2 linked regions of the Mus musculus genome follow. The protein of the gene in region 1 purifies or fractionates together with the protein of each later gene. This does not show direct contact. Links are inferred from orthologs where the notes say so. Each region holds a gene or a part of one and is shown in the gene's direction. Other genes may lie near its edges.

Evidence for each region.
Region 2: the proteins of Eif3g (region 1) and Eif5 purify together in Homo sapiens (affinity purification with western blotting; 3 studies listed by BioGRID and IntAct, with this or other methods). This does not show direct contact. The link is inferred for Mus musculus from reciprocal best matches to the Homo sapiens genes EIF3G and EIF5.

The regions. Positions count from the first base shown.
Region 1 is NC_000075.6:20,894,311-20,900,988, reverse strand, and holds Eif3g (eukaryotic translation initiation factor 3 subunit G), read left to right. Parts: upstream 1-2,398; 5' UTR 2,399-2,425; coding exon 2,426-2,445; intron 2,446-2,564; coding exon 2,565-2,611; intron 2,612-2,821; coding exon 2,822-2,905; intron 2,906-3,012; coding exon 3,013-3,101; intron 3,102-3,222; coding exon 3,223-3,282; intron 3,283-4,768; coding exon 4,769-4,873; intron 4,874-4,971; coding exon 4,972-5,161; intron 5,162-5,792; coding exon 5,793-5,900; intron 5,901-6,019; coding exon 6,020-6,156; intron 6,157-6,249; coding exon 6,250-6,356; intron 6,357-6,546; coding exon 6,547-6,562; 3' UTR 6,563-6,640; downstream 6,641-6,678. UniProt on the Homo sapiens protein: RNA-binding component of the eukaryotic translation initiation factor 3 (eIF-3) complex, which is required for several steps in the initiation of protein synthesis.
Region 2 is NC_000078.6:111,536,607-111,540,900, forward strand, and holds the start of Eif5 (eukaryotic translation initiation factor 5), read left to right. Parts: upstream 1-1,494; 5' UTR 1,495-1,633; intron 1,634-1,748; 5' UTR 1,749-1,942; intron 1,943-2,801; 5' UTR 2,802-3,009; coding exon 3,010-3,081; intron 3,082-3,194; coding exon 3,195-3,276; intron 3,277-3,523; coding exon 3,524-3,696; intron 3,697-3,854; coding exon 3,855-3,966; intron 3,967-4,294.

The DNA.
Region 1 (6,678 bases):
CCCTAGATCCTCTGATTCTACAGGGGTCCCACTACGATGCAGTGTGTGAGAACAGGCCACAGCATAAGTGTGGGGCTCAGGGTACAACCTGCTAGAGTTAGTCCTCTCCTTCCCTCAGATGGGTCCTAGGGTTGAACTCCAGGCAGCAGGCTTGTGGAGAGTGCCTTCACCCACTGAGCCATCTTGCCAGCTTAAGATACAAGTTCTAAGTGTTAGGAGTATAGGTCAGTATTAGTGTGCCCAACTCCCTGCTTTCCGTTCCCCACCAGCATCCCAAACAGACACATGGACTTGGAGTGGATGTTCCTACGGCAGAGAATCTGATATAACCTCCACTTACTTGACAGGAGCTTAGCACTGGAGAGAGTTTAAGGTGGCAGGAATAGAGCTTGCAACGTTTTTGCAGCTAAGGAGGTACTGGGACCTAGGTAAAATATTAAGGCCTAGATAAAATGTCAAGGCCTAGGTAGCCTACTTGGCTAGCCTACCATTATAAGGAAACTTTCTCATATGTTTCTGCTGTTACTAGGAAACTTTCTAATGCCAAAACTGATTACATATTCTGTTATGCCCTGTGCCCTTGGAAACCAATCATGATAGAAGTTAGTAGAACTTTTTTGAATAGTTACCCATAATAAGCTTTGACCTGAACCAACCACCCAGCAGCACTTACTAGCCATATATAAATTTTTATGGTATTTGTCTGTATAAGCTGTCCCTGGGATGGACTCCAACATAAGAGAGAAATCTCTGGCCTGGAGAGATGGCTCAGTGGTTAAGAGCTCTTCTAGAGGTCCTGAGTTCAATTCCCAGCAACCACATGGTGGCTCACAACCATCTGTAATAGGATTTGATGCCCTCTTCTGGTGTGTCTTCAGACAGCTCAAGTTTATATAAATAAAATAAATAGATGAGAGAGAGAACTGCACCAATATAAGAAACCCTTTGGAATAAGACTTCCATTTTGAGTAATGACTGAGTAAAGTTTAAGTTCCCAAGACCTCCCTGGAAACTGGCATCCTACTTGGCAGAAAGACATGTGCGTGGGTAACTGACAACCTGGTTGGCACATTGAGACATGAATGTTCAACAAGGAAAGTCTCTTGCCACCGTTGAATACCCAACCAATGGGAGCAGGATACGTGTAAGGCAAAACCATGTTCCCAGGTAAACCCCCCATTTCTGAATCCTGATTGGTGATGTGACTTGGCCCAGATGTTTGTGGATTTGAGGCTTAAAAACCCTGCAGGATCTTAAGTCAGGGTCACAGTTCAGGTCCTGAATCTGGACTGTGGCCCTGGTTAACCAGTCCTGACATGTATGCTCAATAAAGTGCCTCTCTCTGACTGAGACTGGGGCTCGTGTGGTCTGTGAGGGGACTCCTGGACCACAGCAGGAGGCTGGCTGCCAAGCCTGAAGGCCTGAGATCAATCCCAAGACCCACATAGTGGAAGGAGAGACTGTCTGCAAAGTGTCCCCTGACCTCCATGTGTGCTATGTATGCACAAGCATGCTGTCTTCAAATAATACAAACGCACAACAAGGTTGTAGGATAAACCCTAGCATGCTACACAGCAAAGGAGGCACAGGAGACCAGGTGGCCTCTTATTCAAAGAAAGGACGTCTTAGCACAGGACAAAAGGGTTTGGTCTGAGTCTGTTTCTTCTTCAACAAACCAGAATCCTGGTATCCTCTAAACGATGTGGGGCGAGGGCATTCTTGATACACGTGCTTTTCAGCCAAGCTTGTTGGCACACAATTATAGCCCCAGCTATTTGTGAATTCCTTGCGTTTAGGAGTTCAGGGGCAAGCCTGGGGAACAAAGCAAGACACCTTTAGTTTTGGAGACAGAGTCGCATGGAGCGCAGGCTAGTCTGGAATCCACGAGGTAGCTGAAAATGGCCTTTAACTCATAATTTTCCAGCTTCCACCTCCAGCACTGCGATTACTGATGGCTGAAAACTAATTCTCCGGGAAGAGGGAGAGAACGAATCAGTTCCGGGTGTGGCGATTTCATGTTCATATTCCCAGCACGGACGAGAGTAAGGTGGAAAGACAGCTATGAATTCAAGGCCACCCTGGGAATACTGCTCGTGAGCCTGTACTTTCAGCCTTTTGGAGTTGAGACAGGATTGTGAGGCTATCCTATCTATAGAGTGAGACACTCACGTCTAGCCCCATTACCCAAAGGGGGAAAAAAAAAGTTTAAAAAGTTCTTTGAAGCTTTTTTTTGGACCCCTTTTCCAGGTTGGATCTCAGCGCTTTGCGGTGCGCGAGAGCCGCGTGTCCACCTTTGTCCGCAGGGAGGCGCTGTGCTCACCGCGGTCTGGCCGCTCTAGGCTGCGGCCGCGGCACCGGAAGCCTCTTCTACTCCGGCTTCCTGTCTTTACCCGGGCTGGGAGCTGCGTGGAGTTAAGACTTCGAGATGCCGACTGGCGACTTTGAGTATGCGTGGGGTGGCGATGGGGTCGCCGGGGAGGCCGCGTGGGGGCTGCTCTGGGGTGCGTGGGGGTCTGGGCGGCGCGGGGGGCCGGGACCCGCTCACCAATCTCCTGTCCCCGCAGCTCGAAGCCCAGCTGGGCCGACCAGGTGGAGGAGGAGGGAGAGGACGGTGAGTGCCGAGCGTGGCCGCGCCCGCTGCCTGTTCCCGGGGCCCACGCTCCGGCTAGGGCCGCGCGTGGCCAGCCCCACCCTCGCCCTGCGCTGTGCCCCCGGTGCAACCCGCAAACACACAACACACACACACACACACTCTCTCTCTGACTTGAAAGTTCCCGTCCCGTGGCTCACTCTACCTTCCTCCCCGAATTCCCTCTGGCAGACAAATGTGTCACCAGCGAGCTCCTGAAAGGAATCCCTCTGCCCACCGGGGACACCAGTCCAGAGCCCGAGTTACTGCCCGGAGGTGAGCAGTGTCCATCCCTGCCTGCTTCCTCTTCCCTTCCGACTCTCAAGCCTACTTTCCAGCCAGTCCCCATTACCCGGGAATCAGTTTCTGTCATCTTCCTCCAGACCCGCTGCCACCTCCCAAGGAAGTCATCAATGGGAACATAAAGACAGTGACTGAGTACAAGATAGAGGAAGATGGGAAGAAATTCAAGGTGAGGTCGAAGTGGACACATAGGGCCAGTGCCTTTGTGTTCAGGGGTTCAGGTGGAGGGGTGTCAGTGGCTGAGACAGGGCCTGAGGCTCTGGAAGCACTCCTCTCTTATTCATCTTCAGATTGTCAGAACCTTCAGGATTGAGACCCGGAAGGCATCAAAGGCTGTGGCAAGGAGGAAGGTGAGATTCTACCTCATTTGGGGGGTAGGGTGTTCTCTGGGGCTGATCCTGAGGAGTTGGGAAGCCCCTTTTTGTTGATGTGGAGTAAACGTTTAGTGTTAGGCCTTGAAAGGTTAGGGCCCAGGAGTAGATGAAGTTAGATGCTTTATTTATTCATTTACTTTTGTTTTTTTATTGTTCTCCTTTTGTGTGCGGATGTGCGCAGCATCATCCCCCCCAGCACATGGCACAGCATACTTTTGGTTTGAGCTGGTCTCTCGGTATTAGGAACTAGACTAGGCTTGCTGGGCACTAACAGCCCCAGGGACCCTGCTGTCCCCACTTCCTGTCTGGCCTGCACCGGGAATGCAAGTTTGCCTCTGTGCACAGTGTTTGACTGTGGGTGCTCGGGGTCAGAGTCTGACGGACACTTGTGTGACAGACACTGTACTGAGACATACCCAGCCCTCTTGGGTTTTATTGTTTGTAGTTTGTTTTTCCAGACAGGGTTTCTCTGTGTAGCCCTAGCTGTTCTGAACTCACTCTGTGGTCTAGGCTGACCTTGAACTCATAGATCCACATGCATTAGGATTAAAGGCATTGCCACCATTTGCTGGCTTGTTATTTTTGAGAGGCTCTAGCTCTGGTCTTCATTCTAAATGCTTCTGCCTCAGCCTCCTGCATCCTGACCTCCATTCTCTCTCCTTTGACCTGTCTACATGAAGAAGCAAGCAGCCTCTACTTACCTAGGGGGGAGGGCTTGTAGAGGAGGGACAGCGACGCTTGAGAGCAAGGTCCCGTGCCAGCGTTCAGCAAGACACAGCTTCTCAGGCTCCAGGCCAGCTTAGGGAGGCAGGGAGCTTTGTGGCCCCTGTTTTACAGGCAGGAAATGAGTTTCAGGTTTAACTGGCTCGGTTCCTAAGGTCTGGGTGATTCCTCCTTTGTCCCTGGTGGGAGGCTGGCCATGGAGCAGCCCAGAAACTGCCAGCGGCACAGTGGAGCCCTGTACTCAACCTTTTTTTTTTTTTTTTTTCTCAAGACAGGGTTTCTCTGTATAGCCCTAGCTGTCCTGGAACTCACTCTGTAGACCAGGCTGGCCTCGAACTCAGAAATCTGCCTGCCTCTGCCTCCCTCCCAAGGGCTGGGATTAAAAGCGTGCGCCACCATGCCCAGCATGTACTTAACCTTTTATATGAGTGTTAGAAAGTGTACTGCACGTTTTCACACGAGCTACCTTACCAGCACCTACCTCAGATAACTCAGGCTGGTTTTGAGCTTGCGTGTCTTGAGGTCCTCCTGTTTGCACCTGGCAAGTGTTGGGGTGACAGTTGTGTGCCACTGTGTTTAGCTTAGGGAATGGGGATTGTCACCATTACCACAGGGAAGGCCTCTAGAGAGACTAGATCTTCGGATTCAAGGCCCCGGAATGGTTGTCTGTCTGGGGTACCCACTGCAGGATCCTTCCTGTCTTTTCCTCACTTCTCCCCATTGTTTTCTGGGAGCCCAGAATTGGAAGAAGTTTGGCAACTCGGAGTTTGACCCACCGGGGCCCAATGTGGCCACTACCACAGTCAGTGATGACGTCTCTATGACATTCATCACTAGCAAAGAGGTGAGCTGGGTGAAGCTGGAGCCTGAGAAATGCAGTGGGGGTGGTGTGGGCCGGGCCCAGCAGCCTCCTCTGAGCCTTCCCTCCCTATACCCCACCAGGACCTAAACTGTCAGGAGGAGGAGGACCCAATGAACAAGCTTAAGGGCCAGAAGATTGTGTCCTGCCGCATTTGCAAGGGCGACCATTGGACCACCCGTTGCCCCTACAAGGACACACTAGGACCCATGCAGAAGGAGCTGGCTGAGCAGCTCGGCCTGTCTACTGGGGAGAAGGAGAAACTGCCAGGAGGTGTGGACGTGGGGACCTGGGAGGGTCTCAGCTGTTCTGTGGTAGTGTGCTCTTCTCTTCCCTGCATTACCTGTGGCCAAGTTTGAGTGGCTTCGGGCATGGTCATCCTGATGTGTGACTGATAGCTTACTCTAACTTGGGTATGCGTGCGTGCATGCGTGCGTGTACATATATACTCTGTGTGTGTGTGTGTGTATGTGTGTGTGTGTGTGTGTACATATATACGCAGTGTGTGTGTGTGTGTGTATACACGTATATACTCAGGCAACATCCACCATGTATGTGCTGGGCTCAGTGTGGCCATAATCTAATGTGTCCTGTGGGGGTGGCTGCCTCTTGTGACTTGTATGGAACTTTGCTTCTCACTGTCATGGATGAGTGGCCTAGGGACATCCTCACTGTTGTGTGCCTGTAGTCGGGATGCTGCCGGGCTGGTGGTGTCCAGCGCTGGGGCTCTGCAGTGCTGGCTTTGTTGTGTCTGCCCTGTGGCTTGTTCACTTTGCTCGTGACACTAGCAGAGACTTTGAAGAGTGGTAGCTTCCTAGATGTGATGTTTGGGTCACCAAAGGATGACTGGGTGTCTGTACCTGGGGGCTGGGGCAGAATAATCCTTCCGTCTGCTGCTTTCCAGAGCTGGAGCCCGTGCAGGCCGCCCAGAGCAAGACAGGGAAGTATGTGCCCCCCAGCCTCCGGGACGGGGCCAGCCGCCGTGGGGAGTCCATGCAGCCAAACCGCAGAGGTGAGGAGGTGGGAGGCCCGCCCCCGGAGGCAAGGGCTGTGAGTACTCCTGCAGTGTGGGCGTGGGGTCCAGCGGTGGCACCCTTCTCACTGCCATCTCCCCCTGCCCTGCCCACAAAGCTGACGACAATGCCACCATCCGTGTCACTAACCTGTCCGAGGACACTCGTGAGACTGACTTGCAGGAACTCTTCCGGCCTTTCGGCTCCATCTCCCGAATCTACTTGGCCAAGGACAAGACTACTGGGCAGTCCAAGGTGGGTGAGCTGGTCTGAGGAGTGGAGTGGGTAGCTGGAGTAGGCATCCCTTGACCCACTTCTTACACCTCCATGTCTGCCCCTGGCCCGCAGGGTTTTGCTTTTATCAGCTTTCACCGCCGGGAGGATGCTGCACGTGCCATTGCAGGGGTGTCTGGTTTTGGCTACGACCATCTTATCCTCAATGTCGAGTGGGCCAAGTAAGGACCCTCCTGCCCCTTTCCACCTTCTCCCTAGCCCAGTCCTGTGGTTGCCAGGCCTGTCTGGAGGAAGGTCCTGAGCAGACCAGGCCAAGGGTTCCCTGATGTGAGTGCAGTCTCTCTCCGATCCCCTTCAGGATCACAAGTCCCCACCAGCATCCTTACCACCTCTTTCCCTCCCTCTTTCCAGGCCATCAACGAATTAATAAGACATCTGCTACCTGCTGCTGTTGTCCAGCCCCTCAGGACAGACAGAAAGCTTCAGTAAACAGACTCCAAATGCACTTTGTCCTGCTTATTTTCTGGGTCTCCCTTTGGGGCC
Region 2 (4,294 bases), on another chromosome or scaffold:
TGGAACTTGTTATATAGGCTAGGCTAGCCTGCCTCTGCCTCTGGAGTGCTAGGATTAAAGGTGTCAGCACCCCTGGCTCCTACAAACTTTTAAAATGAAGTTAAACATCAGGCCATCGAACATACAGAAAAGACCACTTTGTATAGTGTTACCAAAAATACTTTTGTGAGACAAGCCTCTTACCTCGGACTGGTTTCACACCCTTTTCTGAGAGTTTCTAAAATATTGCCATTTGAGTTCAGCCAAGCAAAAACTCAATCTTTTCCAATACTGCCAAGTCATGATCCATGGCTCACAGAGGCACTGCCTGAGATCTTTCCACTTTAACGAGGGGGAACCTGGATAAGCACAGAGCCGTAAAAACTGTAGAGCCATGGACTGTGAAATAAAAGCTACAGAAGAGACACAAATCTTTCAGTTCTGCATCTTGTCTTTAGTCTCCCTCACGGACATGGTCAATTAGCTTTACAGAGCTTTTAAGTCATGGGGAAATAACCTTGGATTTGGGCAAAATAAAATTGATCTTTCCATTTTAACCTTGTTACAAATTCTACTGGCGTAGAACAAAGGGCAGCCCTTCTTCCACAACACTGCTCTTTCTCCCCATCCAGGAAACCAGGCAGCTGCTGACTAAGCCAGGCTGCTGCTCTCAGAAGCCCTGGGAAGGTGGAACAGGTATTTCTATATTATTAGTTGGACTCTGGGATGATTTCAACTCTCAGTCGAAACTTTTACCAAAAAAAGAAGTTTTTTTTTTCTTTTAAATAATGGAAGAGTGTCTAGGAAAGAAAAAGTCCGGGCTCCTCTTCCGAACATAAATTGTTAGTAAATAAAACACTGTTGCCTCCTCGGGTGCACCTGCAGGGAGTCACAGTCACCAACCAGCCTGGCCTTTACAGACCGGGCTGGGCTGGACGGGGTGGCCCTACGTGGCGACTGAGCCCCGAGGCGGGGGGATGGCCAAACCTCGAGGCACAGCCGGACCTGACTGGGGTCGAGACCACCCTAAGTTGCGCGGGGACCCAAGCTACACAAAAAAAGGTTTCTATCGTGGGAAACCTCAGAGCCACAACCGCGGAGTCTCGGCTCGGCGGCGGCTTGGCTCCCCGAGCTCAGGGAGAGGCACCATATGGGATGACAGGCACGGGCCAGGCAGCAGGAAGGGTGGTGGGAAAGAGGCAAGGGGAGCCGCAGTGTCGGGAGCCTCCTGGCGCGGTCCAGATGAGCAGTTAGATCACGCGTGGCCCACAGAGAAGCACCGTGGACATAGCCGGCCCGGCCCCGCCCCGAGAGAGGACTAGGCAGGCGCCATAGTGCCTGAACGCATAAACTCAGAGCGAGCCGGGCTATCGCGAGACCGCGAAGGCCTCTGGGAAGGACGGAGTTGGGGGGGGGAAGGGAAGGGAAGGAAGCTGGGACAGGCAGGAGGCGGGCCGAGACCACGAGTGGAGCCCCAGGAAGTGGAGGGCGGAGAAGCGTGAGATCGACGTGCATGCGAGCCAATGACAAGAGAAGTTGGGAGGGCCTGCGGCCAATAAGCGGTGGCTGCCCGGTACAAGGGGCGGGCTCCGGGGCCGAGGGTAGCTTGAGCGCGGCGGCGGCGTTGTTCAGTCAGAGCGAGAACATTCCAGAGGTGAGTCCGCGGGGGGCGGTGGCCCGCGCCCCTGCCCTGCGCTCCCGCCCCTCCACCCCGCGGGCCGCCGGCGGGGGCAGGCGCCGCCCGCCGCTCACTGCCTTGTCCCCGCCAGGTCGCCAGGCTCGGCGCTGCTGGTGTGGACGCGGACGTCGCTGGGACAGTCCCTCCCGCTGCTCGGCGGCGGCACCTGCCCAGCCGCCCCTCCGCTCGCCGCCGGCCCCGCCGCTCCGGACCCGGTTTCCAGCGCCTCTTCCTCCCAGTCCCGGGCGAGCCGCGTTGGGTTTATGTCTTTATTTGACGAAAACGGTGAGTCGCGGGCGGCGGGCCATGGCGGCGGCAAGATGGCGGCGCGGCCGCGTGACCCGCCGCGCGTGTGGCGCAGTTTGGGGGGGGCCGGGCCGTGCGGGAGCGCGCCCGCGCGCGCGCCGTGGCTGAGTCAGGCCCGGGGCGCGTTTGTGACTCAGGGAGGCCGCACCTCTGCCCCGCCGGCCGCCGGAAGGGGGAGGCCGGGCGACGGGCTGCGACCGTCGCGTAGCCATGGGGACGAGGGCGAAGGTCGGCCGTGCGCCGAGGGAGCGAGGGGAGGGAGCCCGGGCGCGGCTTCGGCCGTGGTCCTCGTGCTCCGACGGAGCCAATGGCTCCCAGCCTGGACTTGCCGCCCTGAAGCCCCCGGAGTCGCCGAAGCCGCCCCTCGGCGGTTGGCAGGTCCGGCTCGACGTTTCCCGTTTTACCACGATGGCAGCCGGGGGAGGCGCCATCGGCGAAGTTGGTGGCCCCCGGGCCTGAAGTGAGGGAGAGAAAGGGCCCGGATCCCCTTTTCGGCAGTTACAACGCTGTCGCTCGGCCGGGGCAACCCATGACTCGCCGGTGGCCTTTGATGTGACAATCTCCCGGCGGCTGAGGGAGCAGGGTTTGTGTTCCGTGTTGTCCTCCTCGTTTCGAGCAGTTTCCCTGCCAGTCACAACCCGTGTCAAAATGGTGGCCTCCTGGGTTCCTGGAGTTGTGCTTTGTTACATGGGGATGTCAGCTGTTTTCTCACAAGGACTCGGGCTGTTAGAGCTCGGAGTGTTAGTTGTGTGAGGGACTCGGGGACGGGAAGTTGTCCCGGGGAGGAGTGATGCTAAACCTGTAGGGTTGTTGTGTGTTTTCTCCTTTTCTCTTTCAGAGCTGTTGCGCAGCCATTGGTACCTGTATTGGGGAAACATAGCATACAAGCAAGAAGCTTACAGCCTCAGTGGCGAAAATTTTTTCATGTCAGAGACCGAGAACTCTTGCAGTCGTTTATGTCATCCCTTCTTCTCCAGACAGAAGATACCAAAAAGTTGCAATCAAAGATCTCTTCATCTTATTGATAAAGTCACTAATAAGCCAAAATGTCTGTCAACGTCAACCGCAGCGTGTCAGACCAGTTCTATCGCTACAAGATGCCCCGTTTGATTGCTAAGGTAATGCTGGTTTTTATTTTAGTAGCCTGTTGGTCCGCACACTCTTGATAGGTTTTGAAAGATTACATTTCACAGGGAAGACAGTGCAAAATTGAAATTCTTATTTCCTTTAGGTTGAGGGCAAAGGAAATGGAATCAAGACAGTTATAGTCAACATGGTTGACGTTGCAAAGGCGCTTAATCGGCCTCCAACGTGTAAGTAAAGCTTGGAGAAGCCTGAAAAGGTATATTATGGCTATAGTTTTTACAGTCTTTGAGCTATACATCTTTCCTCAATCATGTTAATTAGCAAGTTGGAACTGCGGACCTACTTGATTGGGTGTCATTAAGCCACCCTGGCTGTATTTCAGTTTCCCTGTAATTTTAACACGGTGAGTTTTTGTATATTCACGTGCAACCAGTGCTTTAGTTAACTATAATGGAATGTCTTGTCTTTATACAGATCCCACCAAATATTTTGGTTGTGAGCTGGGAGCACAGACCCAGTTTGATGTTAAGAATGACCGTTACATTGTCAATGGATCTCATGAGGCGAATAAGCTGCAAGACATGTTGGATGGATTCATTAAAAAATTTGTTCTCTGTCCTGAGTGTGAGAATCCTGAAACAGATCTGGTGAGTGCCTTTTAGGTTTTTTTTCAAGACTATCATGAAGAAAATTGGGTTAAATTAGTACTTTAGATGTCTTCTGGCACTTTTATAATGTAACAAAAACTTCTATCCACTTTTCCTTTTTGGCTGTAGATGACACTTGTTTTTACTTTCCTTAATAGCATGTCAATCCAAAGAAGCAAACAATAGGTAATTCTTGTAAAGCCTGTGGGTACCGAGGCATGCTTGACACACATCATAAACTCTGTACATTCATTCTCAAAAACCCACCTGGTAAGTCTTTTTAATAAATTGACTAGTAGAATAAAAGAAGATTTTTTTTTCTGTTGTTGCTATATAAGAATACACTATGAGCTCATAAGTGAATTTTATTGTTTGTTTGTGCATGGGGTTTTTGAAGACAGGATTTTTCTGTAGCTCTGGCTATCCCAGACCTCTGAATCAGGCTGCCCTCTGCATCTAAAAGGGATTAAAGGCATTCACCACCATGCCTAGCTCTGGACTTTGTGACTTTGACTGTAAGACATTGGAAAATGTCCTGTTTTATGTAGCAATAAGGGTGAAAAATGGCTGCTAAACCAGATGTCTGTTGTTAAGAGTC